Linked DNA regions of Tamandua tetradactyla. The protein of the gene in region 2 interacts with the protein of the main gene of each other region in a pairwise test. Links are inferred from orthologs where the notes say so. Each region holds a gene or a part of one and is shown on either strand. Other genes may lie near its edges.

Region 1 (7,098 bases), on a different chromosome or scaffold from region 2:
GAAATTATAACCCATGTCAAAGTCTGAAATATGTTCCACAACTAATTGTGGTGCTGTGCTTTGAAATTTATAGCTTTTTTGTATATATGTTATTTTTCATAAAAAAAGAAGGAAAAAAAAGTCGATTGTGATGATGAAAAAAGTATTTAAGCCCCCTAGCCTCCTATATTCTGGAGCAGCTAGAAGGAAAAATCTGAGAGGATCGTATGGTAGCCCATGACAAACTCTGGGATCTGTCCTGTAACCACTTGTTGAAGAGTGCTTTGAAAACGACTGCTTTTTTTTTCTTTGCTTTCTATGTATGTTATACTATACAACAGAAAAACTGTGTTATCAAAGAATTTTTAATGACATGGGAAAATGCTCACATATCACATTTTTAAAAATTAAAGTAGGTTGCCATACTTTATAGCATTTAATTCTATGTAAAAAAGGAAAAGAAAAAAGTACATACAACTTGAATTCAAATTTCTGTTGCTTCACTACTAAGGTAACCGAACAGTAACTGAACTTCTCTTAACTTCTACATCTGTAAAACAGGAATACCTAATATCCTGGGTTGCTGGGAAGATCAAACAAAAATATAAAAGCACTCTGAAAATATTAAAGCACTATGGAAATGCCTACTGTCACATTAAACTATCTATGATTTTCTCATGTTTAGATGCTTAAAATTTCCATTTTCCAATTAAGTACATAATGCCCAATATTTTAAGGACATAAACCTGAAATGGGGTTGTCCTCTTTAGGATATCTGTAACTGTGTTCTCTCCATCTTCACTGATAACTCAATATACATAGTGCAATGTTTGAGGAAAACATTCAGAGAAAGACTGACCAGGTTCAAATCCTGGCTAATAATGTCAAGTCTTCATCAGTAAAATAGCTACTGCTCAATAGTTATTTCTTTATGATTACAGGTGCTCTGATTAATTATTCAGCAAATGGACATAAATATCCTACAGACCTGCTGGAGTTTTCATAAATTATAAACATCTGCTGAGATGACTTAAGCAAAGAAAAAATGTCAATTCATACCAAATTTGAAATTGAGAAGGTATGCTTTTTAAAGCTTTTTAAGTGATTGCATTACCACAAGTACTCTTTAATATTTGTAAATGCTTTCATTTTCACAAAAACAGCAGATATTTGTTCCTCCCTCCTATGCCAAGTTGCCCAGGTACTCATTTAAACTAATCTCTATGGGAAGCAGTATAGTCCTTTCAGTTATTTCAAGTATAGACAAGCAGCAAGAATACATCTAACTGGTTTTTACATGTAAACTTTTACCCGTGTATATTTTAAAGACTTTAAAATATGAAGCATAAAAACAAAAACGTGAAGCACACAACAAACAAAACAGTTTATTTCAGATGATGGTTAAGTCCAAAATGTTTATTAAAGGCAGGTCCACACAAGCCCTGTTCATTTCTAAAGGCCATCACTCATGTCCTCCATAATTTGCTGCCTTAAGATTGTGTGTGTGTGTGTGTGTGTGTGTGTGTGTGTGTGTGTGTGTATGCAGAAAAGTATTGGCTGAATTAGAATCCAGGTTTCATCATTTCCTTCTGTTTGACAATTTCTAATGTAAGCCTGAGACGCCCAAAGAGCTGTCTTGAACTTCATCCTGTCCGTAAAGGGTGGTCAACCAGAACAGAGCAACTTTCACCCCTCCCCATTTTCAACAAAGGCAACTCCCCTATCTCATCGCAGTCTCCATTATAAAAGCACAAAATACAACTTGCCTCTGACTCAAACTCAGCCAGCAAAATTTTACTGTATTAAGGTCAAAAAGCATTTACCACCAGTGAATTCCACGCACGCACGCTACTCTCTACTGAAAAACAACAGGCTTCCCACTCACTCATTGAGTGCTTCCTGCATGCCAAGCCAAGTACTAAGCATTTTACTTGATCTCATTTGATCCTGGCAACAGCTCCACGAGGGAGGTACAATTCTCAACCACTTTCCCGTTGAGGAAACTGAGGCTTAAGTGAAGCCCACCCTAGGGTCACCCAGCCATGAAGGGGGCTGAACTGAGGATGCCACAGGCGATCTGACCACCTAAGTTCCCATCTTAACCTTTACAGCTGAAGGCTGTCCTTGAGGACACTACAGTGTGATGTGCATTACCACGGTCGCCCATGGGCACACCTGTCAGCATTTACCTGTGAGCACTCATACGGTTCAGTGTCTAACTCCAGAAAAACGTTTTCTGTGCATCCCGATGGATCTCCTTTTGTGGACTCTCAAGGGCAAGAAGCACGTGTGCGCCAACCCGGAACCGACTGACAAAAGCAGCTCCTGAAACACGAATTCCCCGTCTATGGCAACGACGAATTTGGAAATGCTAGCGCTGCCTGCCTGTGACAAACTTTAAACACTAATTCTAAAAGAAAGGCTAAACACCCTAAGGAAGCCAAGCCCTACTATAACGCGGTGCCAAAGAGAAAGACTTGAGTTGGCAGGACCCGGCGGGCGGCGCACAAAGGAGCCGAGCCCGCCGGTGGGTCCCTCGCGCGGCGGCCGCGCCCCGGGCCCGGGTCTCCGCGCAGCCCCCGGCCCCGCCCGCAGCGAGCGCCTCGGGAAAGCTGAGTCACCGCGCCCGGCGGGGGCGGCCAGGCCAGCGCGCTGGGGGCCCGGCCGGGCCGGGGGTCGACCCTCTCGGCCCCGCCGCACCCTCCAGAGCGGGGCACGCCCAAGCCTCGGGCCTGGCAGCTCTGGACAGCCCGGGGAGCCCGGGGAGCCCGGGGAGCCCGCGGGGCCGGGCGGAACCGACCGACGCCCGGGCGAGCGGGGCGTGAAGGCGCCGGCATGGCCGCTCTCCTCCCTCAGTGCCCAAGGCCCGCCGGCCCCGCGGCCCGTACCCGCGGCCCGCGCCCAGCTCCTGCCTCTCGCGGCCCGCTTACTTGGCTTTGAGGCGCAGCAGCTCCTCAAACTGCCCGGCTGAACCGACCTCCACCACAGCCGCCGCCGCCGCCGCCTCGGCCGCCCCCGCCGCCATGCTGCCGCCGCCAGACTGGAGCAACCGAGCGCGGGCGGGTCGATGGGGGCGGGGCCGGGGGCGGGGCGGGGCGGCCGCGCGCCGGCAAAGCTCCGCCTCCCCGGCCACGCCCCCACAGCGGGGCTGGGCTATTGCGAAACCTGATCCGCCGGGCCTGCAGCGCACAGCCAGAGCCAGCCGGGTTCCAGCGGCCGAGATCCGCGCGCTGTGCTCGAGACTGTCGGGGATCCTGACCCCTGGGAAGGTCCTGACTCCCGGGGATCCTGACTCCTGATCTCTGGGAGTCCTGACTCAGGAATCTTAATTGATTGGAGAGTCCCACCTGCTTAAGACCTCACCCCACCAGCCTCCTGCTGGCAGCTCCTACAGCTTCAGGTTCCGAGCTTTGAAAACCAGGCCCGAGGGCAGAGGAAGGATTTGTGTGTGCAGGTGCGTGAAGTCAGGCTGTGCACTTACAAGCTGAAATCTTTAAAGTTTAGCGTAAAGATTGGCATGAACTGGGAAGGCTGAGAACACAATGCTGCCCAGTCTCCAAACCTCACCTAAAGGACGCCTCCCACGAACCCTACGTGGAGACCGCGTTCCACCCCCCTCACACACACACACACACACTCCCAGCTGGACCCAAAGGGACTGTGACCAGAGAGCAGCAGGACCTGGGACTCCACCAACCTAGCTTCCAGGACCCCCTTAGCACCTCCAATCAGGCCCCCAAGCTCCCAGACCCCTCTTGCCTCGGGCCTTCCCTGGCGACCCTTGCTCTCCTTCGCATCCCCCTAAAGTCGACTCTTCTGAGGGTGTCCTTTGCCTTCCCCCACACTCTCTCCTACCTGGTCATCTTGTCGGTGCCCCTACTGACTTAAATGTCTGGGGAAGGCTCGGCTGCAAGTCCAGAGCTCTCTCCTGCCCTCATCTTCTCCAGACTCTCCTCCCATAGTTCCCATCGCAAGGGGTGCTACACCAGGAATTTGGGGCTTCTCTTAAAAGTCCTCCTGCACCGTCCTTGAGAAAGTGTCCACACAGCCTTCCCTACCTGTCCCTACTGCTCCCTGTGTGAAGAACGTGCTCCCCTTCACCAGTGCTCCCACTGAGGGCAGGAATTGTCTTTATCCCATGCCTGGGCTAGAGCACAGTAGATGTCAGTACGGGGCAGAGAGCAGGGCTCATCGGCAGTATTACAACCCAGAGAGTGGACAGGGACAGCCTCCACAAGCCACACTCTCAGGTGAGCCACATGCTGGGAGGAGCTGGCAGAGGGAATTCGCCCCAGGGGCCTTGTGCTGCTCTGCCACTTCTGTGCCAATCCCCTGCGTGCTGCCCTGCACATCTCTCGGTGGCCTGGGAGGGTGAGCACAGGTATCCTTGAGAGAGAGGAGCAGAATACAAAATTCTTTTTACAAAGAAATTTTCCTTTTAAATATGGACTGAGCATAAAGCATTTTCCAGGGTGGGAGAGAAAAAATTAATCTGGAAGAATTAAGAGGAGGCAGAAGGATTTGTACAGGTTGGTGTGATGCTCTGATACATACCAGAGTTTATTTTGGCCAGAAAATAAAAAAATATTTGCAAATCCCCTTGGGGGACTGGGGAGAAAGGAGGAAATATTAAACTTCCCCATCTGGGGAATTCCCGACATTCTCACTAACAATAGGGACAACCAATTCAACAGGCCGAGCATTTAATTTGGGGGCTCAACCTTATGAAGCTTATTCCTGCAAAGGATAGGCTAAGCCTACAAATAATTATGCCTAAGAGTCACAACTAGAGAGCCTCTTTTGTTGCTCAGATGTGGTCTCTTCTCTAAGCCAATTCCACAGTTGAACTCACTGCCCTCCCCCCTCTAAGTGGAACATGACTCCCAGGGATGTAAATCTCCCTGACAACGTGGGACAGAACTCCCGGGATGAGCCAGCATCATGGGATTGAGAAAGCCTCTTGACCAAAAGTGGGCACAAAATAAAACTTCAGTGGCTGAGAGAATTCAAACAGAGCTGAGAGGTTATCCTGGAGGGTATTCTTATGCATTATATACATATCCCTTTTTAGTTTGTGGTGTATTGGAGTAGCTGGAGGGAAGTACCTAGGACTGTTGAACTGTATTCCAGCAGCCTTGATACTTGAACGTGATTGTTTAACTATAAAGCTTTTACAGTGCATCCATGTGATTGTGAAAACCTTGTGGCTGACACTCCCTTTATCCAGGGTATGGACAGATGATCAAAAAAATAAGATCAAAACAGAAATAAAAATGGTGGGGAGAGAATGGGCAACAGTGGCTCAGTGGCAGAGTTCTAGCCTGCTGTGCCAGAGACCGGGGTTCTCTGGCAGTGCCTGCCCATGCGAGAAAAAAAAAATCATGGGGGAGATAAGAGGTTAAAAAAATTGGATGGATTGCAATACTAGCGCCCAATGAAGAGAGGTAAGGGTACAGAATATATGGATTTTTTTCTTTTTTCTTTTTATTTCTCTTTCTGGAGTGATGCAAATGTTCTAAAAATGATCACAATGATGAATACACAACTATGTGATGATATTGATTGTATATTTTCCATGGCTTGACCTTGATAAAAATATTTTTCTAAAAAAGCAATACATAATCTTTAAAAAAAACAGAAGAGGAGGCAGACAGAAAAGAGAATTGTGAGTGTGTAAACTGGAAAAAAACAGAAGCACTCACAGCAGGCAGCTAAGAGCCGTGCAGTCCAGTGTGGCTCTATCCATTGTGGCAGCTCCATGCCTCCGAGAGCTGGTATGTGGCTGGCCTGAATTTCAATGTGCCGTAAGTATAAAATGCACAAAAAAGAGCACAAAATATCTCATTAATATTTTTTATATTGTTGGCATGTTGAAATGATAATATTGGGTTGAAACGCTATATTGGGTTACATAAAATACATAAACTAAACCTGCTGCTTTTTACTTTTTTTAATGAGATTCTTAGAAAATTTAAAATTACATAGGTGGCTTTCGTTTGCAGATCACTTTTTATTCTCGTTGGACAGTGCTTCTCTAATGGTTTAAAAGCAACCTATAGGAGCCACATTACAGACACACCTCACTCTGAGAAGCAGATGCCACTGAGAATGGTAAATTACATTACTGAAAATGTGGGACAGAGGTGGGAGTCCAGGTGGGTACACAAGCCTACCTGTGATAAAATGGCGTAGAACTAAACACACACACACAAATGAACATCAACAGGACTGAGGCCATCCGAATAAGATAGGTAGATTGTATCAATGTCATTACAATGTCACTGACTGTGAGACAGTGCTACACTGGGGAAAACTTTTGTGTGTACACAGTGTCACTCCACATTACTTCTTACAACTCCAGTTGTGAATCTACAATTATCTCAAAACTAAATGTTTAATTTAAAAAATACATAAAAGCCTTAGTGATTATTATAAAAATGCAATAGGAGGGGGGAACAGCATATGGTAAAATAGTATGTGTATCTGAGAATCATTTTTAAACATGGAATTATATGTAGACAAAATATGTAAAGATAGGTGTGTGTAGCATAGAAAAAACTTTCAGAAGGATGTGTCCCCAAATATTAGAACTTGCCCCCAGAGACTAGAAGTTGGGGAGTTTGAAGGATGGCCCTTTACTTTTTACATTAAACACTTTTGTGTCGTTTGCATTTTTCAAAGAACATGGACTAGCTTTGTAATTTTTTAAGATAATGAAACTGTAATACACCAGGGAAATGTGCAATAGTGAATAGTTTTCAAAAAACGCAAGTAATTGCCCCCCTAATGTGGCTGTTTTATAAATCTTGATTTTTCCTTTAAATGGAATTTGCTGCAAGTGGTATACGCTAGCTGCAGAGCATGCTCCCTTCAACAAAAATGCCCCCAGAAAATGCCTGGAAAACATTTCCAGTCCCCCTCCTGCCCTTTCTTGCAGTTATCATGATTGAGATCAGCAAGCCTAGGGGGCAGCAGATGGCCTGTTCCCTCTAAAATGCTCTGACTTCAGCAGCAAAGACTACTCAGTAGCTCAGCACTGAACTCAAGCCACGTTTTGGGGAGAGTGCTGAATCTGAGTTACAGGTATCTACAGGTACGTACAGGTGTATATGCAGGAGC
Region 2 (7,727 bases):
GGACTGTTCGTCCTGGGAAGAAAGGGGAGAGGTTAATTTGAAAGACTGCCTGGCCTCCTCCTTTTCCAGGACGACCCTTTGGGAAAATCCAGGCTGCCAGCTTTTGCCTGGGTGTGGGGCACTCACCACTATGGGACTGCAGCAGCTGTAGCGGTCTCCTCCTGCAGCCAGGCAGCAGGCCACAGGGCAGAGCTTACCGTCAGGGCACTGTGTTCCAGCCACTAGCCCTGCCATCAAGGCCAACCAGCTCACCAGGGTCCACATTGTCTGTTCACAAAAATTGGCAACCGATTTAAGCCCATGCCGCTGTCGATTCTGAGCACTGATTCACTCACCCACAGGCCTGCCTGAACATCCCCAACAACTCACTGTCCAGGATGGAAGAAAGATATGGAGCCTGAGACTCAGTTCCCACCATGTCTCCTGGAGGAGCCCTCTTTCAACTCAAAGAACATCCCCAAGAAGTCATCTCCTGGCCATGTCAGTATGAATATACATATACTGTGTCCCCGACCCATGGCCTGACACCTGCGTCTCTGTGGGTGGTTCGCAATCACAATCACAGGTGCCAGTGAGGAAGGCATGTGGGGTTTGGCGGTCTGATCTCTGGGGACATGGGCCACTGGGGGGCGGAGGGGTGCAGTAACCCTGGGAGAGAGCAGCGCTGGAGGGAGGGAGCTCCCACCTTCCCTGAGGTAAAGCCAGGCCTCCCCTTCCCCAGCCAATGCCGTCCAGTGCCCGCTCGCCCCCCCCCCCCCCGTTGTGCTCACACCTGCTGTGCCTGTGTGGGAGTCATCACAGGGTGATGTGGGAAACCACAGTGTGGGGAAAGTTGTGAGAAAGGAAGTGTGGTGGCTTGTGGGGCCGGAGCTACCTTCTCCAGAGGCCAGCCACTGCCTGCCCACCACTGTCCCCTTCTTCCCACAGCCTGGGTCAACCTCCGAGACTTCTGTTCTCTGAGGGACCCCCCCGAACACCATCAGCGCCCTATCAGACTCCCCAGACATAACAATCCCCTGCCCTACCTCTCCCCAAACCTTCGGGGCCAAAACTCAGCCACAAGCACAGAGAGAGCATATGTGCCCTGCCAGGGCCTCCCTGCCCACCTGTCTGCCAATCTGAGGCAGCAGGAGGAACCGACCCTCATGTCCCTGAGGGGTATAGACTCTCACTTCCCAACAGCACTTCCCCCAAGCTCAGCAGCCCTGTGAGTTCAACAGGGCAGGCCTGGGGCTTGTTACTGGGCCTAGAGGAGCAGACAGGAAGGTGTGTTGAGCCTCTTGGTGGCCAGTGACAGCACTGGTCATTTTATTTCTTCTTTGCAACAACCACCCAAAGTAGTAATTATCTTTACTTCTCAAAGGCAGAAATGGAGCCTCAGAGATGTCAAGTAACACGCCCATGTCATATAACAAATCATGGTGATGACAGGCTTGATGGCTGCAGAACACACTGGACCTGGATTTATTTCATAAGTGGCACCCTGGCCAGTGCCCCAGAATAGACACGAACCCCCAGAAGGACAGAGCACCTGGGTCCAAGCAGAGGGAGGGGAACAAAAAGATTTTCTGGGCAGGTGAACCAGGCAGGGTGGAAACAGGGGGTACAATGTGGAAACTGCATTTGGGTCCTGGTCCTAGAATTGGCCACTAACCAACTGTGAGAGCTTCAAAAGTTGCTCCCTGTCCCTGGGCAGGGTCCCCATGGTCTATGTGTGGCAGCACTGAGTGGGAGGCAAAGGGAAGGAGGTTGGGAAATTCCACCAAGTCCCTTAAATCTTCTTTCCCCTTTACCTGGCTTTCCTCAGGTGTCCCTCTCTCAACTCAAAGAACATTCCCAAGAAGTCATCTCCTAGCCCGAAAAGGATGATGACGTCTAATCTTGGGCCCACTGTCCCTTTCTCTCTCTCCACCACCTAAGCATCTGCCTCTGACTCATCTGTTTCTTGGGTGGGTGTTGGTGGTGGGTCCAACCTCACCACACAGCAGGCTCTGCTCTTGGTTTAGGCCACAAGGGTGCCTGTCCACACCCATCTAGGCCTCCATGACTTATTTATGTATATTTTCCTTCCTGTGCATCCTGAGGTTAGGAAGTATGGTGTATGCTTCTATCGAAAATGTACTCATACATGCGTGCGCAAGCACACGCACACAGCGAGGCATGCAGGACCAAGAGGCTCAATTTCCCTCTGGTTCCTCTTCACCAGGTTCTGAGTGGCAGCCTTTCTCACCACACCCCACACTACCACAACAGAGAGGACAGAAGCTTCTTCCAGCCCCCAGTACCATCATCTTCCACTAGGAGGCACCCCCAACTCCGAGTACCGGGGCTGAGGGAGATTCCCTAAAGGTGGGCCAACCCAGCAGCAACTGAGCAGGAAAAAGTGACAGGAAGAGAGAGAAGCTAGCTCGTCCCGCCTCCCACATTCTCCCCCCACGACAGGAAGTAAGGAAGCGCCAGGCACCACCTCGGGGCTCTCTCGCCACTCCAGATCCCTTCCACCTTCGAGGAGGCCTGAGCTTCAATTCCCCCTCCCAACCCCTCCGAGCTCCGGGACGAGCGGCAGGCGCTTCCCCTCTCCAAGAAGTCGCGGGAACGCCCCCCGCCCCCCACCCCCACCCCCACCAGGAGAGGAAGGAGCCGGCACCTGCTAACAGGGGGTGAAGCTGGCTCAAGAACGGGCTGGTCGGTCTCTGCTTTCGGGGAAGGGGCTGCAGTTTCCGGGAATCCTGGAGAGGGGACCCTTCTAAGGGGGCGGGTCACTGTAGTGACAGCTCGCTCCCTCGCCTACAGAACTCCCTCCAGTGCAGGAGAACCCCCCCAGCAGTTTCTATAAGCGAGTCTCCTCTTGTCTCCCGTCTGAGACTCCAGAGGAGCCTCCAGCTCACCGTCCGCGGCCGGGCCCCCAGGCAGGAGCAAGCGAGGGGTCTGCGCGGGCGGCCTCCCACTCGGCCTCGGAGTCGGCGCTGCCTGAGCGGCCTCAGCCCCGCCGCTCTTGGACTTGCGGCGCCTCTGCCCCGCCCACCTCCGTCCCCATAGGCCAGGGGGCCGCTGCCGCGCTCCCATTGGTCACTTGTCGACGTGGAGGCGGGGCCAGACTGGAATGCTGTGTATCTTTCCTGCCCAAGTCACTCTCCTCCCTCCCACTTCCTCTCTCTCCGCACCCTTATTCTTAGGCATCATGTGATTGGAGAATCACATGACGCCCCAGCCCGCTGCCTGTGCCTGCCTTGCGGTCTCCGCCGGAGTTTGTCCCTCGCGCGGCCGCCGGTGTCAGGGGACATGACAGAGGGCGCGATCCCGGGTGTTCATAGGATGTGACGTGTGTGCAGCCCCTTTCTACCCTATTCTGTTCCACCCTGTTCCATCCAGCACACTTGGATTAAATGCTAGGCCGTCAGATCCAAAGGGGGGTTGAGGGAGGGTTGTAAGGACAAGAATAATACGCCCCTAGCCCCCGTCCCTTTCCCCGAGGTGCCCCCAGCCTGGGGAAGGGGAGACAGGCTCAGACTAAATTAAGGCAAGGTCGTGTGCCAGATGCTATAGATGTGTGTAGGGGGTGAGTAGTACCTGGGCTTGGGGGCGTGGATTAATCCCACCAGGGAACACCTTAAGCTGGCTCTGGGAGTACTGAGGGGCTGGAGAGTCGGCTGGAAAAAGGATGTTCGGAAAAGTATCAGAAAACTAGATGGGAAGGGCAGCCACGGGCAGGGATTGAATGCCACGTGCAGCGAAGTGAGCTTGAGTCGCTTCTGGCTACCTGCGCAGGCTGGGCTGGGGTCTGGGGCCGACCTAGTGGAAGCTGGTCTTCCTGTCTAGGAACTGACTGGCAGGTGAGGGGAGACAACTTACCACACACAGTGGATTGACAGGCCACAGGAGCCAGAATCGCCCCACGCCAAAAGGCCCGGGTGGGTGATGGGAGGCTGGCCAGCAGAGAGGAGCCATCCAGGGAGGGTGCTGGGACCTGGTCTCCCAGAGTGGGTGAAGGGCCGGCAAGCTGAGGAAATGACTTGAGCCGAAGGTGAGGCTGGGGTAGAGGGACAAATAACCAAACTCAGTAGTGATAGGAGTCTGGGTAGGGAAGGAGGGGCAGCACTGTGGAATTGGGTGGCGGTTCTTAGCCTGGAACTAGGAAGGATCCCAAAAGTGGACAAGGTTCCTGCTGATAATCTAGGACTATTCCATCCCCCTGCTTATGCTTTTACTGAACACACACACACACACACACATGACTTTATGAAATGTTAGACAAATTAATATATAAGTCCTTTAATCACAACTACACAGAACCAAAAAAATCCACAAAAATACAGGCAAATTAAAAAAAAACGACTGAAAATAGCATCACAAAGTCTAATTAAAGACATGGTTCACAACCAGGGGCAATTTTGTCCTCCAGAGACATAGGGCAATGTCTGGAGTCGTTTCGGGTTGTCTGTAACAATTGGGGAAGGAGATGCTACTGGTATTAGTGGGGAGGAGCCAGGGAACCTGCTAAACATCTCCCTATGCACAGAAGCACCCACACAGCACAGAACTTCAGGTCCAAAATGTCAGTGGCGTTGAGGTTGAGAGACCCTGCTCTGGAGGGTCCCAAACTTTCTCCATAAGAGCCCTAAAGTGTTCCACATATAGAGCATCTAATCTCTTGTTTCATGTGCTTTTAATAAACGTAGTTATCTGATTCCTCAGCAACAGCAAATTATCGATAGATTGGGGGCTGTGTGTGTGGAAGTTTCTAGGGGCAGTCACTTTGTGTTTGGCAAGGATTAAAAGCCTTAGAGGGAAAACTGCAAACCACAGATCGAACAACTTAAAAGCAAGCCTGCACAACCCAAAAGGCCTTCAGCACATCCCTTTTTTGTGGGCAACAGTGAGTGGTCAGAGGCATGAGACTGAGCATTCAGGAAAGTTTAAATCATAAGCAATTACTCTACTTAGACAGTAATTGCTTACTAAACAGCCTGATTACTCAACAGCCCTGCCCAAATGACTGAAAACAACCAACCCTTCCCTGGAGAGGGCAGTTGCCTCCAAGGACTGTGGAATTTCTACCACCTCCTTCCAGAAGACCTCCGGGGTTCTTAAACCTTGAATTCAAGAACCTCATCTGTCTTTTGCTTTTTTTTTTTAATTTCTTGTAATTTATTGTTAATCTCTATAGAGAGGCTCAGGATAAAGTCAGGCCTCATTTTGACAGTGAAGAAGAAAAAAGCCACGGCCAGCATGGGTACTGGATCCGGAGGTAGAGACAAATGATGGGAGTAAAGAACAATGACAGAGAAAAAGGGTAGTGAAATGACACAGGTGGTGGTGGTGTCAGTGGCTGACATTTCTGAAGGCTTGCTGTGTGCTAGGCAGAGTGCCGACAACGCTGCTCTTGGCATGCAAAGTAGTGCAAAAGCCTCCACTTCATTTTTGAAATCTGGGCGAGAATGAATGAGGTTTATTCACCAAAGAGGTTTAAGATGAGACTCTAACGGATCCCCTCTACTCTAATTGTCATGGTCAGATTCATGTGTCAACTTGGCCAGGTGGTGGTACCTGTATGATTGGTCAGGCAAGTGCTGGCCTGTCTGTTGCAATGAGAACATTTCATAGAAGTAAATCATGATCATGTCAGCTGCATCCACAGCTGATTCCATTTGTAATCAGCCAAAGGGGAGTGTCTTCTGCAATGAGTGATGCTTAATCTAATCACTGAAGCCTTTTAAGGAGGATTCAGAAGAGACAGGCTCTCTTCCTCCTCCAGTTGGTGAGCCTCTCCTGTGGAGTTCGTCCAGACCCTCCACTGGAATCGTCAGCTTCACAGCCTGCCCTGTGGATTTTGGACTCTGCATTCTCGCGGTCACGTGAGACACTTTTATAAATTTTATATTTGCGAGTATTCCCTGTTGATTCTGTTTCTCCAGAGAACCCCAACTAATACAATAATCATACCTCTTGCCCCCCCACCCCCCGAAACACATATATACCCTGAGTGCTCTCAGGGCTTCAGAGAGCCAGCCTGAAAGGAAGCCAGAGGTGGTCAAAGATCAGGAAAAGTTGACCCTAAATTAAATGTCCAAATGTAAAGACTCAGGGAAAACCATTCCAGATGTTTTACTGTTATAATTCAATACATTCCTATTTAATTGCAAACACCTCCAGAGAGTTATCACCTTACTCAGGAATTGAAGGGAAAGGTTAAAACTAGGGAGACGGAAGTTTGGCTAAAACAATTACATCTACCAGTTCACAGGTCCAGGTGAGGTGCCTTTTGCTTCTAGAAATGGGATATTATTTTGTGACCAGGAAGACTGAAGAGGCAAATTTCCAGGGTCACGAAGGGATTTAATGCCAAAGCTCCCGTCCCAGTGTGCCCCTTCCTGAGTCCTTCCTTTCTGATTCCCTTGCACCAACCAGCCCTTGTTGTTTTGGGGACTCCTTTCATTTTCCCAGCATAGCCTCGCCCCTGTCCAGCCTGGTGGTTTGATACCTTCCCCTCCAGGTTTGCTTACATGGAAATAACTCACTGCTCGAAGTCCCCACAGACAGGTTCTCCCCCATTGCCCATGCTGGCTGTCACCTCACCTCCTTCCCTGATGCCCTGGCCTTCAGCCTGACCCCAAGGTGGGCAGCGTGCCCCTGACCCTCCACTGGTCTCTTTGGGTGTCAGAGATGGACGGACAGTCGTGGAGCCTGGTCCCCATGTCTCTTGCTTTATGGGGATTTTTTTTTCAGCTTTTTTTTAAATTAATTTTTAAATTTTTAAAAAATGTACAACAAACAAATGCAAATATTCTTTTTTCTTTTTTTTTTTTTTTGGCATGGGCAGGCACCGGAAATCGAACCCAGGTCTCTGGTGTGGCAGGTGAGAAGTCTGCCTGATGAGCCACCATGGCCCGCCCAAACACAAATATTTTATGATCATTCTATTCTACATATATAATCAGTAATTCACAATATCATCACACAGTTGGATATTCATCATCGTGATCATTTCTTAGAACATTTGCATCAATTCAGAAAAAGAAATAAAAAGAAAACAGAAAAAAATTCATACATCCCATACCCCTTACCTCTCCCTTTCATTGATCACTAGCATTTCAATCTACTAAATTTATTTTAACGTTTGTTCCCCCTATTATTTATTTTTATTCCGTATGTTTTACTCGTCTGTTGATAAGGTAGATAAAAGGAGCATCAGACACAAGGTTTTCACAATCACACAGTCACATTGTGAAAGCTATATCATTATACAAACATCTTCAAGAAACATGACTACTGGAACACAGCGCTACATTTTCAGGCAGTTCCCTCCAGCCTCTCCACTACATCTTGACTAGCAAGGTGATATCTATTTAACATGTGAGAATAACCTCCAGATCCCCTTCGGGGAATGGTGGGAACGGGGAGAGATTCAACTTCCCCAGGTTGAATTCTTGATATTCTCACAAGCAGTGTGGACAACCAAAGCTATAGGCTGAGCCCCCAGCCTTGCGGTTTGTTCATATGAAACTTAACCCCACAAAGGACAGGTCAAGTCTACTTAAAATTTAGGCCTAAGAGTCACCCCCAAGAGAGCCTCTTTTGTTGCTCAGATGTGGCCTCTCTCTCCAGCCAACATAACAAGCAAACTCACCACCCTCCCCCTGTCTACATGGGACATGACTCCCAGGGGTGTGGACCTTCCTGGCAACGTGGGACAGAAATCCTAGAATGAGCTGAGACTCAGCATCAAG
Region 3 (7,288 bases), on a different chromosome or scaffold from region 2:
TTATTCTTCTTTTCAGCTATTTTCTTCTGTGTGTTCTCAAAGTGGAATTGCCCTCTTAAAAAGCATTTGCTGTCCTTCTACTGGTAATAAGTAACTAGATTCCACTCTTGGAAGGAAGGTACTGGTTAACGCTACAGATCTTTCTTCAGATCCATGTCAGAACTAATGTTTAACCATTTTCTTAATAGCTTATAAAAACTGTTTAAATTTGCATCTTCATAGCAAAGCTGTATATTTTTCAATGCAATAATTTATTCCTTATTTGCTTTTGTGTAAACTGAAGTCTAATTGTAAAATAACCACTGTTTTAGCCAACATTCTCTCTCCCACCATGTATAAAAGGTTTACAACATAAAATTTAAGAAGCTATACCCCTTAAAAATATTTATTACATGCAAAATTACCATATCCCAAGTATTCCTCAGAGAGAATGCTTTGTCTTTAACAATCAAAAACTGTACAAATATACAAACCTCTCTTGTTGAAATTCTGATCTGCAGTAAGTACATTTTACAATTGGATGTGCAATTCGACATTCCTGTAATAAAACAACACGTTAGTCAACATCTATCTCAACGTCCCAAATCTCACTTTTGTGGTAGAAAACTATTACCCGGCCTAGTCAAATGTCTCAATCATCAATAAAACCTATCTACTAATGTAACCAATTGGGGGATTAATCATATAAATGGCAAATTACAATATAATTCCTTAGGGAAGGCATAGGCGTCTTTGTCTGTATTAGATGTGGGAGTATGTTACAGATAAATTAAGAAAGCTGTCAGGGCCTGTTTCAAGAACTGATCAAATGTGAAACTACTTATTTTGCACCGTTGCTCACAGACAGCATCCTGGCTTTAATGGGATGGAAGGAGCTCCAAATCATAGAGCATTCTGTTCCCAAGCCAGTCGCTTCGCTTTCCTGGACAGGGAAGAAGGATGCCATCAGCTTTGCGGCTTCGGATTCCTAGCAAGAAAGTGCAAAAACTGTCCCCTGCCTCCTGGTGGAAGGAGAAGACAGACCAGGCAGAACATTGAGATGAAAACATCTCCATCCCAGGGTCTCTGCGGCATAGACAGGTGGCTGCCTTACTCAGCCCCACCCCTAAGACCCCCAAACGCTGCTGGGGCTCGGCCCCTCTTGGGCCTCCTGGACGAAGGTAGAATTCTGTCGCTCTTTCTCAGGGGTCCTTCTCGACTGATGTACAGGCCCTCGGATAAAGGGATCCCGGGTGGGAGGCGAAGGCTCCAGACCCCTAAATCCCAAAAGCGCCGAAGAGCGCGGGGCTGCAGTGCACCAGTCACCCAGCTCCCCTGGATTGCGGTCGAGGGAACCCCGCCCGCCCGCTGCCCGGCGCCCACAGACCTTGCAAAGCTGCTGCCCCTGGGAAAGCTCCTCGAAGGGATAGCGCTGGGTACACTTGGTGCAGGCGTACAGGGCCGACGCCGCCATCCTGCTCCTCAGTCTCCTCCTCCACCGCCGCCCGCTGCGAGGCGGAGCCCTACGGCGGACTCTGGTACCGCCGCCGCCCGGGCCACGGGCTCCTCCTCCTCCCCCCTCCCCCTGCCTCGCGCCCACCAGGGCCTCTTCCGGAGAGTCCCCCGGCCCCTGTGGCAACGCTGCCGTCTCCCTCCGCCTCCACTTCCGCTCCAGCCCACCAAGCAAGACTGTCCCAGCCTCTCCCGCTTACGCCCCGGTAGCGGCGGAGGGAGACGAAGCGGTAGTTCGATAAGATTTAGCTGCGCGACGCGATCCGCTTCCTTCTCGGCCTCCGTTCCGCGTCCCCGATTGGTCACGGAGCCTACGCGTCACTCGGTCGCTCCTCCCAACCCCTCACCCAGGTTACGCAAGGAGCGCCCACAAAGGGAGGAAGCTGCTAGCCAATGACAGCCCGACGTTCTCGGCGCGCGAAATCTGCTTTAAATCAGTCCCGCCCTATGCCTGGGTCGCAGCTATTTCTAGTAGCCGGTTCGAGGTTTGGGTGAGAGCTCCCCAACCTAATTGGGCAAATGTTCTTGACAGGCTTGGTCTCTGCCTCCTCTCTCTTTCATTTGACTTCTATTGGACCGAACCATTAAGCCCCTCCTAGTCCGGTTTGTTATTGGCCAAAAGGAGTTCACCCCAAATCAAGCTCTCTTCGGCTTCTAACCCAAGAGAAGGGATGGCGTGTTTGAACTTCGCATTCATTTTTACTCTATTTCAATCATTCGACTCAGTTGCCACCGGAGACAACAACACAAATCCTGGCCCACGTTTCCTCCTTGAGAAGTCTCCTTCCTTTGCAAAGTCGCCTCCCAAGCCGTCTAGCAGCTCCCAGTGTTATCGGCTCCTGGCAGTCTCAGTTACGCGCTACCTTGTGACGTCAGCGAGGGAAGAGGCGGATTCTCTACAGGAAGGCGTCCGCTTTTTTGATTGGCTATCCAAGCCGTCCATCAGGACGTGTTGCCCTGTCGGCGTGTGCTCTGAGTTTGGGCGTCCCGGTGGGGGTGTGTGGCAGGGGGTTCTAAACCTGGTACCAGCACCCTCGCCCCTTCCATCAGGGGCCGGGCTTGCGGTCGCCCCTGGTGGGCGGCTCACATATCTTGAAGAAGAGCACGGGAACCCAGATCGTTCCGGAGCTGCGGAGGCCTGCTGGGCAGGAGAAAAATGGCGGCGGCGTCGGTTTCTGCGACTTCTGGTTCTCATTTCTCGGTAAGAAGCTATTGATGTTCGGATAGGCTCCAGATCGGTTCTTCTTAGTGCCTCTTCCCTTTTCCTCATGTTTTAGAGCTCTCTCGGCTCTCCCTCTCATCACATCTTGAGGAACAGCGGGCACGGGGGAGGAGCACCTAGATCGCCCAATGCTAGCCCTGCTTCCACTGCTTCTCTGTTGAAGCTGCACCCTCTGGCTTCCAGTGAAACAGGACTGGTCCGCCACTCCCTCCGTCCCGCCCCACTTCACCCCCATCCCCCGTGTGGGTCTAGCAGTCCAGGTTGCCGAATGTTGCCTAGACTCGGCTGGGAAAACTGTACCGGCTCCCTGGCCTGAGAAAGCGTAACTGCTTTGGTCACGTGGCGGTAACGGCCCCTTTTTGGAAACTGGCGGAGACCAGGTAGGCGCGCTTGTCGGTTTAATAGACAGCTTTTGAGTAGTCCGTTGTTTATCACGTGCATTCTCGTTTTTGCTTACTCTTTTGCCTGCAGACTCCCTGCCTCCTGTCTTCCCAGTAATGTTGTTCCGTGATCAGACCAGAAGCGCGCGCTTCCCATATCCCACCATATTATTAGGGCTGCAACGTTTAAATGCCTTTTCCACGTACTTTTCTGTGTTGTTTTAAAAACGTACGTTTTTTGAAAATTTCAGATATGGGTTGATGATTCCAAATATTGTTTTCGCCTCCACAAGGGCCACCAATTCAGTCACTTGGTTGAATTAGAGTGTCTAATGCTTAGTGGTTTGGGAACTGTCCCGTTGAGAATAGTTGGGAAGTAAGTGTGACAAGGCTTATTAAGTTAAAGGACTTTTCTATTCATTCAGCCAGTGGTGAGTTACTGGCATATTATTAGGCTGAGATTACACAGATGAAGAATATAGAGCTGCTGCTCTGAAGGAGAAAAACACTGAAGAGAAACAACATATAATTAAATGATTACTACACAGAACAGTTTGAAAAATATTGTCATGCCGGACTAATCTAGGCAAGAGTGGCTAGTATTGTTTGGGTAGACAGATGAGGTTTTCTTGAAGAGAAGATGGAGTTGAATGGGGAAGGAATTTTAAGTGCTTCTTGCAAGAATAGAATAGGAAGAAGAAAAAGGCACCATAGGCATTTTGGGGATAGGAGCCAAAATAATAGGTGCTTTCAGGAAACTTGAAATAACTTGGAATAAGCATAGGTAATATGGAGGTAGTGTTGTGAGATGAATTGGAAAAGTAGGTAAAAGTATGGTTTTGAAGGTCCTTATATAGAATCTGGGAGAGAAAAAGACCAAAAACATCAGGGTCAAGTAATGGCATAGAAGTTAAGGGGGAGAAAGTTTAAAGAATGCTAAGAGCAGATTCACTTTGAGAAGTCATGCCTTTCTTCAGTTTCAGGTTTCTATGGCTGTCTTTAGGATTTGGGATAATGAGGCCAGAAGCAACCTTCAGGGTTTCGGCAGAAAGAGGGTAATCATAAGTCCTCAGAGAGGTTAGCAGAGATTAAAAAACAGTTGGAGTTTATTCAGAAATTAATGTCAGTAAAAGGGAAGATAAAACAACTATGAGACAATTAGAAAGAGGTGTCTCTCTGTAAATGGATGAGATTTTCAGTATGAGATGTGATTAATTAAACTTAATTGGGAGAAGATGTGCTCTTAAAATAGCACTTTGAGGTTGAAAAGACCCTTTAAAATGTGGAATTGAGCTGCACTCCGAAGATGAGTAGTGGCGCTGGGATGTGCTCAACCTGTAGTCCTTACGATAGGCACTCCAGAAATCCAAAAGAGTGTGTAACAGAAGACATATTTTAATGTGCTAAGCTCAGATTTAACTGGGTTCTAAATATTGAGAACAATAAAATATCTAGGACCCTTTACAAATCAAATTATAACCATCTTCTCAACTAACTTGATGTGCTACATCAAAATGTCTAATTTTGAAGCTACATCTCAACACAATTTAACCTATTTCTCCGTGCGTAAGAGATGGCCCTGCTTAGATATTTTTTTTCTCTGTCCGCCTAAAATAAGGCTGCATTTCCAACATGGCCTGCAGTATTAAAAAGAGCACTTTAGCTTAGCAGCTGATTATAATCTAAGACAAGGCATAAAAAAGACCTTATAACGCTACAACGTGAACTCAGATTACTCCTATCAGACTTCAGGGTTGTGAGCAGTAAAAACTCATATGTATTTGGAAGTGATAAAATCAGGATAGAGCTAGCTATAATAAATGGAGATGCTTTTACCAGGCAAGGATTTTTACAGGGTAACTGTATATCTCTTACATTTCAAATATGATCAACATGAAAGTAGGTGATAGGTTTGAATTGGTTTTTCTATGTATTTATTTACTGCAACAGTAGCAATAAGAGTAGCAGAAACAGCATTTATGGAGGGATTACTCTGTATCACTCTCTAGTGGAGAAAGCAGGAAAACAATTATGATTGACATGATGGAATTAATGCTAAATTAGAAGTTCAGGCAGCATAGAGTTGAAACACAAAAGAATGTCTTTCATTTCGGTTCTCTGTTTTCCCAATAACCACAGTCAGTGCCCTCATGTCACTTTGAGCAACATTGAAAATATATATGATTTATTTTAGAGAATAGTAAAGTGATTACCTTCATGCCCCTTTTTGTATCTTCCTTCACACATACACAACCACTACCATAAATTTTGAGATTACAATAATACCTAATACTTATATAGTATTAACTGGCAGACAAAGAGTTAAGCATTTTTCATACATCAGTTAATTTAATCTTCACATAAGGTTGTTACCTTATGAAGCTGGCATTAAACTTACATAACTAGTAAATGGTAGAGCTTGAATTTGAACCCAGGTGTGCTGGTTTGAAAGTATTACGTACCCCAGAAAAGCCACGTTATAATCCTTATGCAATCTTGTTGGAGCAGCTGTTTCTTTTAATCCTGATTCAGTTCTTTAGGGGAATCTTTTGATTAGATTATTTCCAGAGAGATGTGATGCCCCCAATTGTGGGTGTGACCTTTGATTTGATGGATATGTGACTCCACCCATCCCAGATGGGTCTTGACTAGTTTATTGGAATCCTTTAAAAGAGGAGGTATTCTGGAGAATGACAGAAGCCTCATAGCTGACAGAAACTTCACAGCAGAGCTGACAGATATAGACACGTGGAGAACAGAGACACGGATGTTTGGAGATGCTTGGAGCCCAGCAGACATTGCCATGAGATACTAAGCCAGAACCTGGATAGAGCCAAGGGAACCCAAGAGATGAAAGCCAGCCCCAGAGAAGCAAGGTGAGGAACCCCCACAGGAACAGAGGCTGAAGGCAGTGGAGGCCAGAAGCATATGCCAGCTGTGTGCCTACCAAGTTGATAGAGGTGTTCCTGACCCATGGGCCTTTCTTGAGTGAAGGTAACCTTAGGTGTATTAGTTTGGACAATTTTATAGGCTTAGAACTTTAAACGTGTAACTTATTAAATTCCCCTTTTTAAAAGCCGTTCCAGTTCTGATATATCACATCTGGCAGCTTGCAAACTAACACACCAGAGTCCTTTCTTTTATTCATGATGTATTCCAGCTAATCATTCCCATTTTTTAAAATCATTTTTTCACATACAGATGTATTCCTTTCCTTTTTTTTTTCTGTTTTTATGTTTATATTCCTTTGTGGCTTGCTTTTTTTTTTTTTCTATCTTATGTTTTTGAGAATCATCTATATCGGTATATGTATGTTTATATGATATTTATTCACTTATACTTCTGTGTAACATAGCATCTTGATGGGCTTTGAGGTTTTTAGGTTATGTTGTTCATTTGTTTGCTAGCTATTTTAAACAATCCTGTAGGTGTATTCTGTAATGTAAATCATTTCAGATGTGAAAAGTTTCTCTAAAGTAGCAGTTTCCAGTGTGGTCTGAGGACCACTGGAGGTCCCTGAGATCTCAGACTGTTCACAAGCTCCTTCCTTACCAACCACATATCTGTGAGTGTGTAGTAAAGAATTTTGCCTTGCTTGAAGAGAGGTCTGGAATTTGTCACCCACTCCTAGGAGATCATCTCTATACCCTTGGAATTTCCAGAGAGAAAGGAGGGCATTGCTCTTTATAGTGGACCCCTGAGACCAAATAGTTGATCATCAGTCAGTCATACTTACATAGTGAAGCCTCAATACAGACTCTGGGCACTGAATGTTGAAAGATTGGCAATACTCTGTGCATATTGTTACACATTAATGTTGGGAGGTTAACACTTTCTGAGAACAGTGGAAGCTTTGGATTTAATTGTGTAGTTAATTCCTTCCTCTTGGGGTGAGAAGTCTTGAGAGGACTTGGCAGTCTGGAGGACTGTATCCTTAACCTTACTCTCAGGTACTGGGAGACCAGATTTTCTTTATAAACATCTATATCAGCCAAAACAGTATATTGAATGCAGAAGCAGATATGAGAATCCAACTGCCTTCTTTTAAGCCAAACATTAAACAGATATACAAAAATATAAAATAGACAAGTGAGGCGAAAATAATACAGAACCTTTCTGGGACCAAAGGAGCCTCCTCAGCTGCAGAAGCCCATCTCCTTAAACTATCAAGGTGAAAAAAGTGGTGAAAGAACTG
Region 4 (7,528 bases), about 28 Mb from region 2:
TATGGAAGAGACGAGAGGAAGACAGGAACAGGCAAGCCCCTGAGCAGAGCCACTGAAGAGGCACGGATACGGGCTACACTCTACTTCCCACTAGGAATCCCGCATACCTTGGAAAAGGGAGCACTGCTGCAGCAACCTCCTTGGAGAGCTTGAGGGTAAAATACTGGACTCCACTAGTTTAAAAAGATGGATCATATCAATTAATAGCCTAGGTTATAAAATCTGAACTATAAATAAGGATGGCTAAACATAATGCAAAAATGATACTCAGATCAATTACAGCCTTAAAAACAATGACAAAAGGAGACATTTATAGGGCTAGTTCCAAAGAGTTCATTTTCCTGTGCTGATGACAGCTTAACTAGACCTTAACAAGAATCTATTTTTGAATGCTCTAAAAACAATTCATCTATCCACACTGGACTACTTAATCCCTGAAAAAACCCTCAGTTCTCTCTAAATGTTTTGATAGGAATAGGACCCTACATTGATAAATACATTTTTTATAAACTAATCTTGCTAAAAATGACCAAAATGCTACATTTAAGAAGCCCTCAGACTTTTAAAAATATCATAGCATCAATGAAAATACAGCAAATTCATTTGTTTAAAAAGTATACTTCCCACTACACAACTTCAACAGATCAAAGGATAACAGCAATTTAAGAGACACTAAATGGCATTAAAACATTATAGAGAATGTGGGCCACTGCACAGCTACAGTCTACTGACCTCATTTGTGGTACTCATGTATAGTGCTATATTTAATGCATTCTTATCAAAAGGCTAAAGCTACATGCTTCCCAACTGTATCTGTATGGTTTAAAATAAACCTCTCAAGCAACGATCCTAACTGGTTCAACAAGGAATTCTACCTTCCTTCTAGGGGGCGGAGGTGGGGGTGAATCAAGTTCACAAACTAAGGAGTGAAATGACTGAAAGGATAAGGAAAGTAATTATGCAAAGCATATCCAGATGACAAGACTATAATAAGGAATAGAGTTCAAGTCAGTTGTGACAATTGTTTGGAGCCCAGTGTAATGGCTCCAAACTAAATCAAACATATGAGAGATGACAAAGGTCTTTCTAGGAATAAGAATTTCATATTTCTATTGATCCTACACGTGGTGGCTTGCTTGTGTTCTAAATAGAAAAGTTCAATAGATAGCAAACTTATGTGCGTTACTCATCAGTGGGTGCTTGACCAAAATTTGCCATGCTTCAAACGCATAAGCCTGGATAGCCAACACATTAGGCCTCTTTACCATATAACTGCGGGTGGCTTTCTACAGGTGAGTTGAGAAGCTTGCTCCACTTTGGTCAACATGGAGAAAACCATGAGGGCTGATTTGCCCAATCACAACCATGAGAAGAAACCATGAGAAGTTGGGTTTCTTTCGATACTCACCAGACAACACCAAAGGCTCCATATCCAATAGGTCTATCCGGCTCAATATCCAGCTGCTGTTGTGGGTGATGCGAGTGCTGATGATGGTGCGCCTTAACTGTAGCAGCTGCGGCAGCCTGTACCTGAGCTGGGGCTGCTGCAGCTGGTCCAGGAGCCTGACCCGGTGCCGGTGATGGGAAATATGGTTGTTGTTGCCCCGGGTTTAACATGGCTGCAGCTGCGGCCGCTGCTGCGGCTGCCGCAGCTGCCGAAGAGGTATGCTGTTGTACAGGGTGTACAGCAGCAGCCGACCCCGGATGGAGATGGTGTTGAGGGTGGTGGTGGTGGTGAAGGTGAGGAGGAGGGAGGTGTGGAAGGTGGTGGTGATGGTGGTGGTGACCTGCTGCTGCTGCAGATGTACCGCCATTATAAGCCGCCATCATTTTTGCGTTGGCTCTTGTGCCACAAAGAGACATTCAAAAAAATGCTCTTTGATTGGAAAGCAAACTGGGTCAAGCTGTCATTTGGCCATTTAAAAATGAAGAAAACCACTCACTCCACTTCAAAAAACATAGAGCGTAACTGGCTTTATGTCTTCATCAGTCAATCCAAACAAGTTAGAGGATCTTGGTGTTTAATTTCTGAGTGTGTGTGGAACGGTGTGAGTTGCCAAAAAAAAAAAAAAAAAAGGAAAAAGAAAAGAAAAAGGAAAAAAGGACCCCTTCCCCCCAGGATTCCTGCCACAGGTGGGTACTAAAACTCCATTCTTAATTTGGGGGGGGTTCCAATTTTGAATGTGGGAATAAAGGCCAAACCTCCCAACCCCCTGAATTCCACACACGAAAAGGATCAGGTAACACACTACCCTTAGAATCTTGTAAAAGGGTTGAATCATCTACCCCTTCCATTCCCACATCCTTTTCTGAACACCTACCACCTCCTCAAAAACACAATTAAAAAAAAAATTCCAACCACCCCAAATTAAAAAGACGGGGGGAAATTTTCAGGGAAACCAGCTTCCCCCCCACCTCGAACTCTCAGGCCTTCCTACATCTCCCCATACTCCTAGTCAGGTTGACTTGGTGGGGGGTCGGGAGAGGGTTCTAAACTTTCCTGGGCAGAATGAGCCAGAGAAGGAGGCAGGAGGGATAGAGTGAGGCGAGGAGCGACAAGCCAGGCGCAGAGAGGAGAAAGAGAATCCGGGCAAAGTGAGGGTAAGGTGGTGCAGCGAGGATGAAAGAGTAGAGATGGGCAACACTCGGACGCCCAGACAGAGGGAACCGCCCCGGGATGAGGTTAGGGTCCCGGGGCCAAAGAAAAGGAGCCCCGGGAGGCGGGCGGGGTGCAGTAGGAAGCCGGCTGACTCCTGCCCCCGCCGCCGCCGGCTGCTACTGCTGAGGAGGGTTGGGGGGGAGAGCGGGTGGGTCCCCCCGCGCAACGGCCCCCGCAGGGCTCAAGGCTGCTCCGTCTCCCCCCCTCCCCCCCACCCGGCTTCCGTCCCTGCGGCCGCTTTCTCCACAGCCGCCGCGGCCGCTTTCTCCTCAGCCGCCGCCTCCTCAGCCGCCGGTGCCGCCGCGGCCGGACTCACCTCCCCTAGCAAAGCCGGATAGAGCCGAGCCAGCGGCGGACACGCGCAACCAGCCGCCGAGGCCCCGCCCACACCTCACACTGACCGGCTGCCTTAGCCAATCCACGCCCACCTGTCCGGGTCCGCTGCCAATCCTGGGCCAGGAGCTTCAGACAGGCGCACCGTTCGGCCAGTGGCAGTAAGGTGTGGGTCTCCTGGGGAAATCCCGCCCCAGATCCGGGATGGGCAGATAAAAAGACCAATCAAAAGGCAAGGTTTGGCCTGACCGACAAGGTTGGAAGCGAATTGAAAACCAAAGACCTCTGTGACATTTTCTTTCGCCTCTCTCCTCTTTTCTTTTTCTTCTTTTATTTTTTTTGGCAGGAGCAGGAAGCTGCGTGGTAATCCCGCCTGCAAAAGCCAGAAAAGAGGGGCGGAATGAAAGAACCAATCATAAGCCGGGGATAAAGAAGAGAGCAACCAATCCTTGGGTTGAAGATGAAGTGGGTTGGGGCTGAGGCCAGATAGACACTTGGTTTGACAAATGGAAAAAAAGATTGATCTCGGTCCCGCCCTTCAGGTTTCCTATAGGGCAGGATTGTAGAGAATTCGCTGTCATCTCCGCGAAGACCTCTTCAAGGGGCGGGGCCAATTGAAAGGGGTGTGGTCTAAAGATTTATGGGGCGGAGCCGAGGTGAGGAAGGCGGAGTTCAAATTATTGCTAGTCCATTGACAAAACTATTTACTACTCCTTTTTAAGGCGCAAGGTTGATATTGAGCTTTAGAAATCCAAGGTTCAGGTTTACTCAACAAGACAGTTACGGCAGAAATTCAGTAAATTGATAGTTACTAGCCTATGGCTAGTCCTCCATGGCTAATCCTAATTGAAAAAAAGTGGCGTTATCTCCAGCATTCAGAACTCCACTTTCCATAAACAATAAGGCTACTGATACAAATTTAACCAAAACAAAAAACGAAACTTAACTAAAGGATAGTAATTTTTCCCTCATATATTCTAAGTCAAGTAAATTCCGTTCATTGAACTCTTACTAAAATATCTTTCTTTCACGTAACCATAATTATCTGAATCATTTCTTCTTTTAAAGAAGAATGTTTAATAATATTTCACATTATTAAAATGTGAAATAATAAGGTTACAGACGTTATCCCTACAAAAACCGCACAGTCAGAAACCTGAAGGTCATCCTTGATTCTTTCTTTCCCTTTCTACCCTTGTCCTTCCAATCAATCATCAAGTCTTAAACACTTCTACCTCCCCACTTCTCTCCAGTCCCCCCATCGTTACCCAAATATACACCAGTAGCATCTTTAACTCATCTCCCTGCCTACAGACTAACTCTCCTCTAATCCGTTCTTCATTGGGGGAATAGTATTCTTTTAACAATGCAAGTCTAACTATGCCATTCTTCTAATTGAAACCCTTCAAAGACTTCCCACTACTTTGAAGTAAAGGTAAATCAATAAACCTAACTGGTCCAACCCTATCTGGTTCCCACCTACCTCTACAGCCTTATCTCTCACTTTCACCTTCTACACTTCACATTCTCATGCTTTGCTTCCTCCAAGCCTTCATGTATATCTTCAGCCCAGACACTTTCCACCCATCCCCCACTCCCCCAACTTTCACTCATCCTTCAAGGCTCTTTCACTATCTTTCTTGGGAGTTTTCTGCAACCCTGTCCTACAGTATGTGTTCTGTTATATATCTCCATGGTACTGCTGGCCTCACGGCACTGAAAACGCGATATTCTAATTGCTTATTGAAGTTACCAAGGACCAAGAGCTGACTATCTGCCTCACTTAATGTTGCATCCCCAATTCCTAGAAAAGTGCCTGAAAAAGAAGAATGATGCTTACCAAAGATTTACACGTGTTATTGGGTGAAGAAGGCATGCAAATTCTATCTCTGCCATTTACTAGACAATTTAACTAACCTTTCTGAGTCTCAATTTCCTCAACTGAAAATGAAGATAATAATATGCGTCTCATCAAGATGAGGTGAGGATTAAATGAAATGATACATTTTTAAATGTTTGACAAATATTAAAACTTCAGAATATGCTAATTCCCTTTCTTTCTCCATCCTCATGCAATGCTTGGGGTGCTTTTCCCATTCCTCCAGGCCTTTTGCTCATGAGGCTCCACCAGAATACAGCTTCCCAGAAGCTTTTCAGAAATGCAAATTCTTGGGTTCCACCCCAGACTTAGTCAATCAGAATCTCTGGAGCTAGGGCCCAGGAATCTGTATTTTAACAAGTCCTCCAGGTGATTCTTACACATGAAAAAGTTAAGAAGAACTGAATCTTCTTAAACTTTGTTTTCTTTTCTGTACCTAGTATAGTACCTTGCACATAGAAATTGCTCAACACATGTGAAATAAATTAATCTAATTCATCAGAAAACAGCTACACATTAAGAATTATTTATTCTGTTCACAAACATAATTATATCTTGGCATGATGCGAGGGTCAATGACTAGGGAGGGAAGGTACATGTGATAAAGTTTCTGCCCTCCAGGAGCTCTAAATCTAGTGCAAGAATTTCCAAAATGATGTGTGCACACTCCAAGAGGTGCACAGTGATCCGTTAGGTTCCAGGAAGAAAATTGTACTTCTATTTGTATTTACTTTATATTTCATCTTTTTAAAAGCTCTGTTTTGTTAGTATTTTATGCTGTACCTAGTATACTGAGTAAAGTAAATGTAGATAACTTATAAATAAATATATGTATATATATTGCAGAGTTGTGCTCAAAAAATATTATTAAAAATATTGAAAATTGTTGGTCTAGTGACCATTTAATGTTCACAGCTCTGATCAGCATTGTCTGATAGAAATATAATGAAAGCCACATATGAAATTTTTTTTTTTTTTTTTTTTTTTTTTTTTTTTTTTTAAGAGAGAGGGAGGAAAGGAAGGAAAGACAGAGAAGGAAGGAAGGGAAACATTTTTAAACATTTTCTTGTTTTATTATATTTTGTTTGTTTGTTTGTTTTTACATGGGCTGGGGCCGGGAATCGAACCGGGGTCCTCCGGCACGGCAGGCAAGCACTCTTGCCCGCTGAGCCACCGCGGCCCGCCCCACATATGAAATTTTAAATGTTCTAACAGTCAAATAAAAAAACGTAAAAAGAAACAGAATTTTTTTTTTTTTTACATAGAAAAATATGGAACGCTTCATGAATTTGAGTATCATCCTTGTGCAGGGGCCATGCTAATCTTCTCTGTATCATTCCAATTTTAGTATATGTGCTGCCGAAGTGAGCACCAGAATTATTTTGATAATAAATTTCATTTAACCTAATACATTTACATATTGTCATTTCAACAGGTTATCTTGAAAAAAAAGATATTTTACATTCTTTTTCTCTCTTTTTGAGTGCTAAATCTTTGAAATTTGGTGTATATATTGCTCTTATACCTCAATTCAACTAAAAATTCAGTTTTCTCACTCCCGCTAGCCACATTTCAAGTGCTTGTTGGCCTCACTTGGCTAGTAGCTACCACATTAGACAGCACAGATCTAGATCAGGGGTTTGAATCCCTGCTGTGCTTCTCACCAGCTGTGTGACCTTGGAAACGTTCCTTAAACTATTTTAGCCTGAATTTCCTTGTCCATAAAATAGAGAGATCCCTGCTGCCTTTAGTTGTTGTGATGATTCAAAGAGACAATGCATGGAAAGCACATAATCCAGGACCTGCCTGGTATCTCATCAGTGGCAGAAAGTGGAATGATTATTATTAGCATTAAAATCCAAGGCGAAGTGTCCTAAGTGTCATATGAGAAATACGCTTTGGGCACTGCTGGTTTCATGTCCCCAAGTATTCCATCCACATACAGCTGGTATGCCTGCCACCCAATTCCCTTTAAACACATCATCAGACAGTACAATATCCGGCCCTTTCCATTCCGTTCCATTTTCAGGAGCTGAGCATGATGAAGGAGAAGTCGGAAGTGAGTCAGCAAGATAGCACTTAGAGCCTAAAAAAGCAAGCAGGACATCAGAATATGTAAGCAGGAATATAATGTGCAGGAAGTGGGAGGTAATCTTCCCTTTCTTCCCAAGAACTGGCTCACCCCATGAGTTGTCTGCAGAGACTTTGTAGAACTTAGGCCAAGACCAGGGTGATTAAAGGACTACAAAAGGGAACAACTCACGTTCAACAACACTGGATGCCTTAAACATTGTCTCATATGATAAATCACCACTACATCCCATTTTGCAAATGAAGAAACAGACTCAGGGAGGCAAAGTAACGTATGGAACCTCATGCAGCTAGTGAGTGACAGAACTGGGCTAGGCTGGCTCCTCTGTGCATATTCCTCCCACTATACATGCAGCTGGAGGAAATAGCCAAGAAAGGGATGCTTTGGAACATGGGGAAGAACAGCAGCCTAGGACCTCCTTCACTGGGCCCATGGTATCTTTTCAACATTTTTTACCTAAAACCCTAAGTGGCGTGCAGGGGGGACCACCTCTGGCCTTTCAACACATGCACCTTTTCCCGGCCACGCTTCTTCCATGTCCTGACCCCTCTCCGCAGACTTGACA

Evidence for each region.
Region 1: the proteins of GRN (region 2) and GLRX3 interact in binary tests that used the Homo sapiens proteins (3 or more experiments, as listed by UniProt). The link is inferred for Tamandua tetradactyla from reciprocal best matches to the Homo sapiens genes GRN and GLRX3.
Region 3: the proteins of GRN (region 2) and FAM76B interact in binary tests that used the Homo sapiens proteins (3 or more experiments, as listed by UniProt). The link is inferred for Tamandua tetradactyla from reciprocal best matches to the Homo sapiens genes GRN and FAM76B.
Region 4: the proteins of GRN (region 2) and NLK interact in binary tests that used the Homo sapiens proteins (3 or more experiments, as listed by UniProt). The two-hybrid records come from large-scale screens. The link is inferred for Tamandua tetradactyla from reciprocal best matches to the Homo sapiens genes GRN and NLK.

Annotation. Positions count from the first base shown.
Region 1 is NC_135339.1:92,763,245-92,770,342, reverse strand, and holds the start of GLRX3 (glutaredoxin-3), read right to left. Parts: upstream 3,018-7,098; 5' UTR 3,005-3,017; coding exon 2,910-3,004; intron 1-2,909. UniProt on the Homo sapiens protein: Together with BOLA2, acts as a cytosolic iron-sulfur (Fe-S) cluster assembly factor that facilitates [2Fe-2S] cluster insertion into a subset of cytosolic proteins.
Region 2 is NC_135332.1:23,122,704-23,130,430, forward strand, and holds the start of GRN (progranulin), read right to left. Parts: upstream 3,002-7,727; 5' UTR 2,889-3,001; intron 2,730-2,888; 5' UTR 2,648-2,729; intron 604-2,647; exon of another isoform or gene 342-603; intron 268-341; 5' UTR 265-267; coding exon 127-264; intron 13-126; coding exon 1-12. UniProt on the Homo sapiens protein: Secreted protein that acts as a key regulator of lysosomal function and as a growth factor involved in inflammation, wound healing and cell proliferation. Regulates protein trafficking to lysosomes, and also the activity of lysosomal enzymes.
Region 3 is NC_135334.1:47,133,423-47,140,710, reverse strand, and holds the start of FAM76B (protein FAM76B), read right to left. Parts: upstream 3,012-7,288; 5' UTR 2,693-3,011; coding exon of another isoform or gene 2,648-2,692; 5' UTR 1,454-2,647; coding exon 1,367-1,453; intron 539-1,366; coding exon 474-538; intron 1-473. Other genes in the region: CEP57 (centrosomal protein of 57 kDa), read left to right, coding at 2,648-2,692. UniProt on the Homo sapiens protein: Negatively regulates the NF-kappa-B-mediated inflammatory pathway by preventing the translocation of HNRNPA2B1 from the nucleus to the cytoplasm.
Region 4 is NC_135332.1:51,201,586-51,209,113, reverse strand, and holds the start of NLK (serine/threonine-protein kinase NLK), read right to left. Parts: upstream 3,016-7,528; 5' UTR 1,864-3,015; coding exon 1,409-1,863; intron 174-1,408; coding exon 108-173; intron 1-107. UniProt on the Homo sapiens protein: Serine/threonine-protein kinase that regulates a number of transcription factors with key roles in cell fate determination. Positive effector of the non-canonical Wnt signaling pathway, acting downstream of WNT5A, MAP3K7/TAK1 and HIPK2.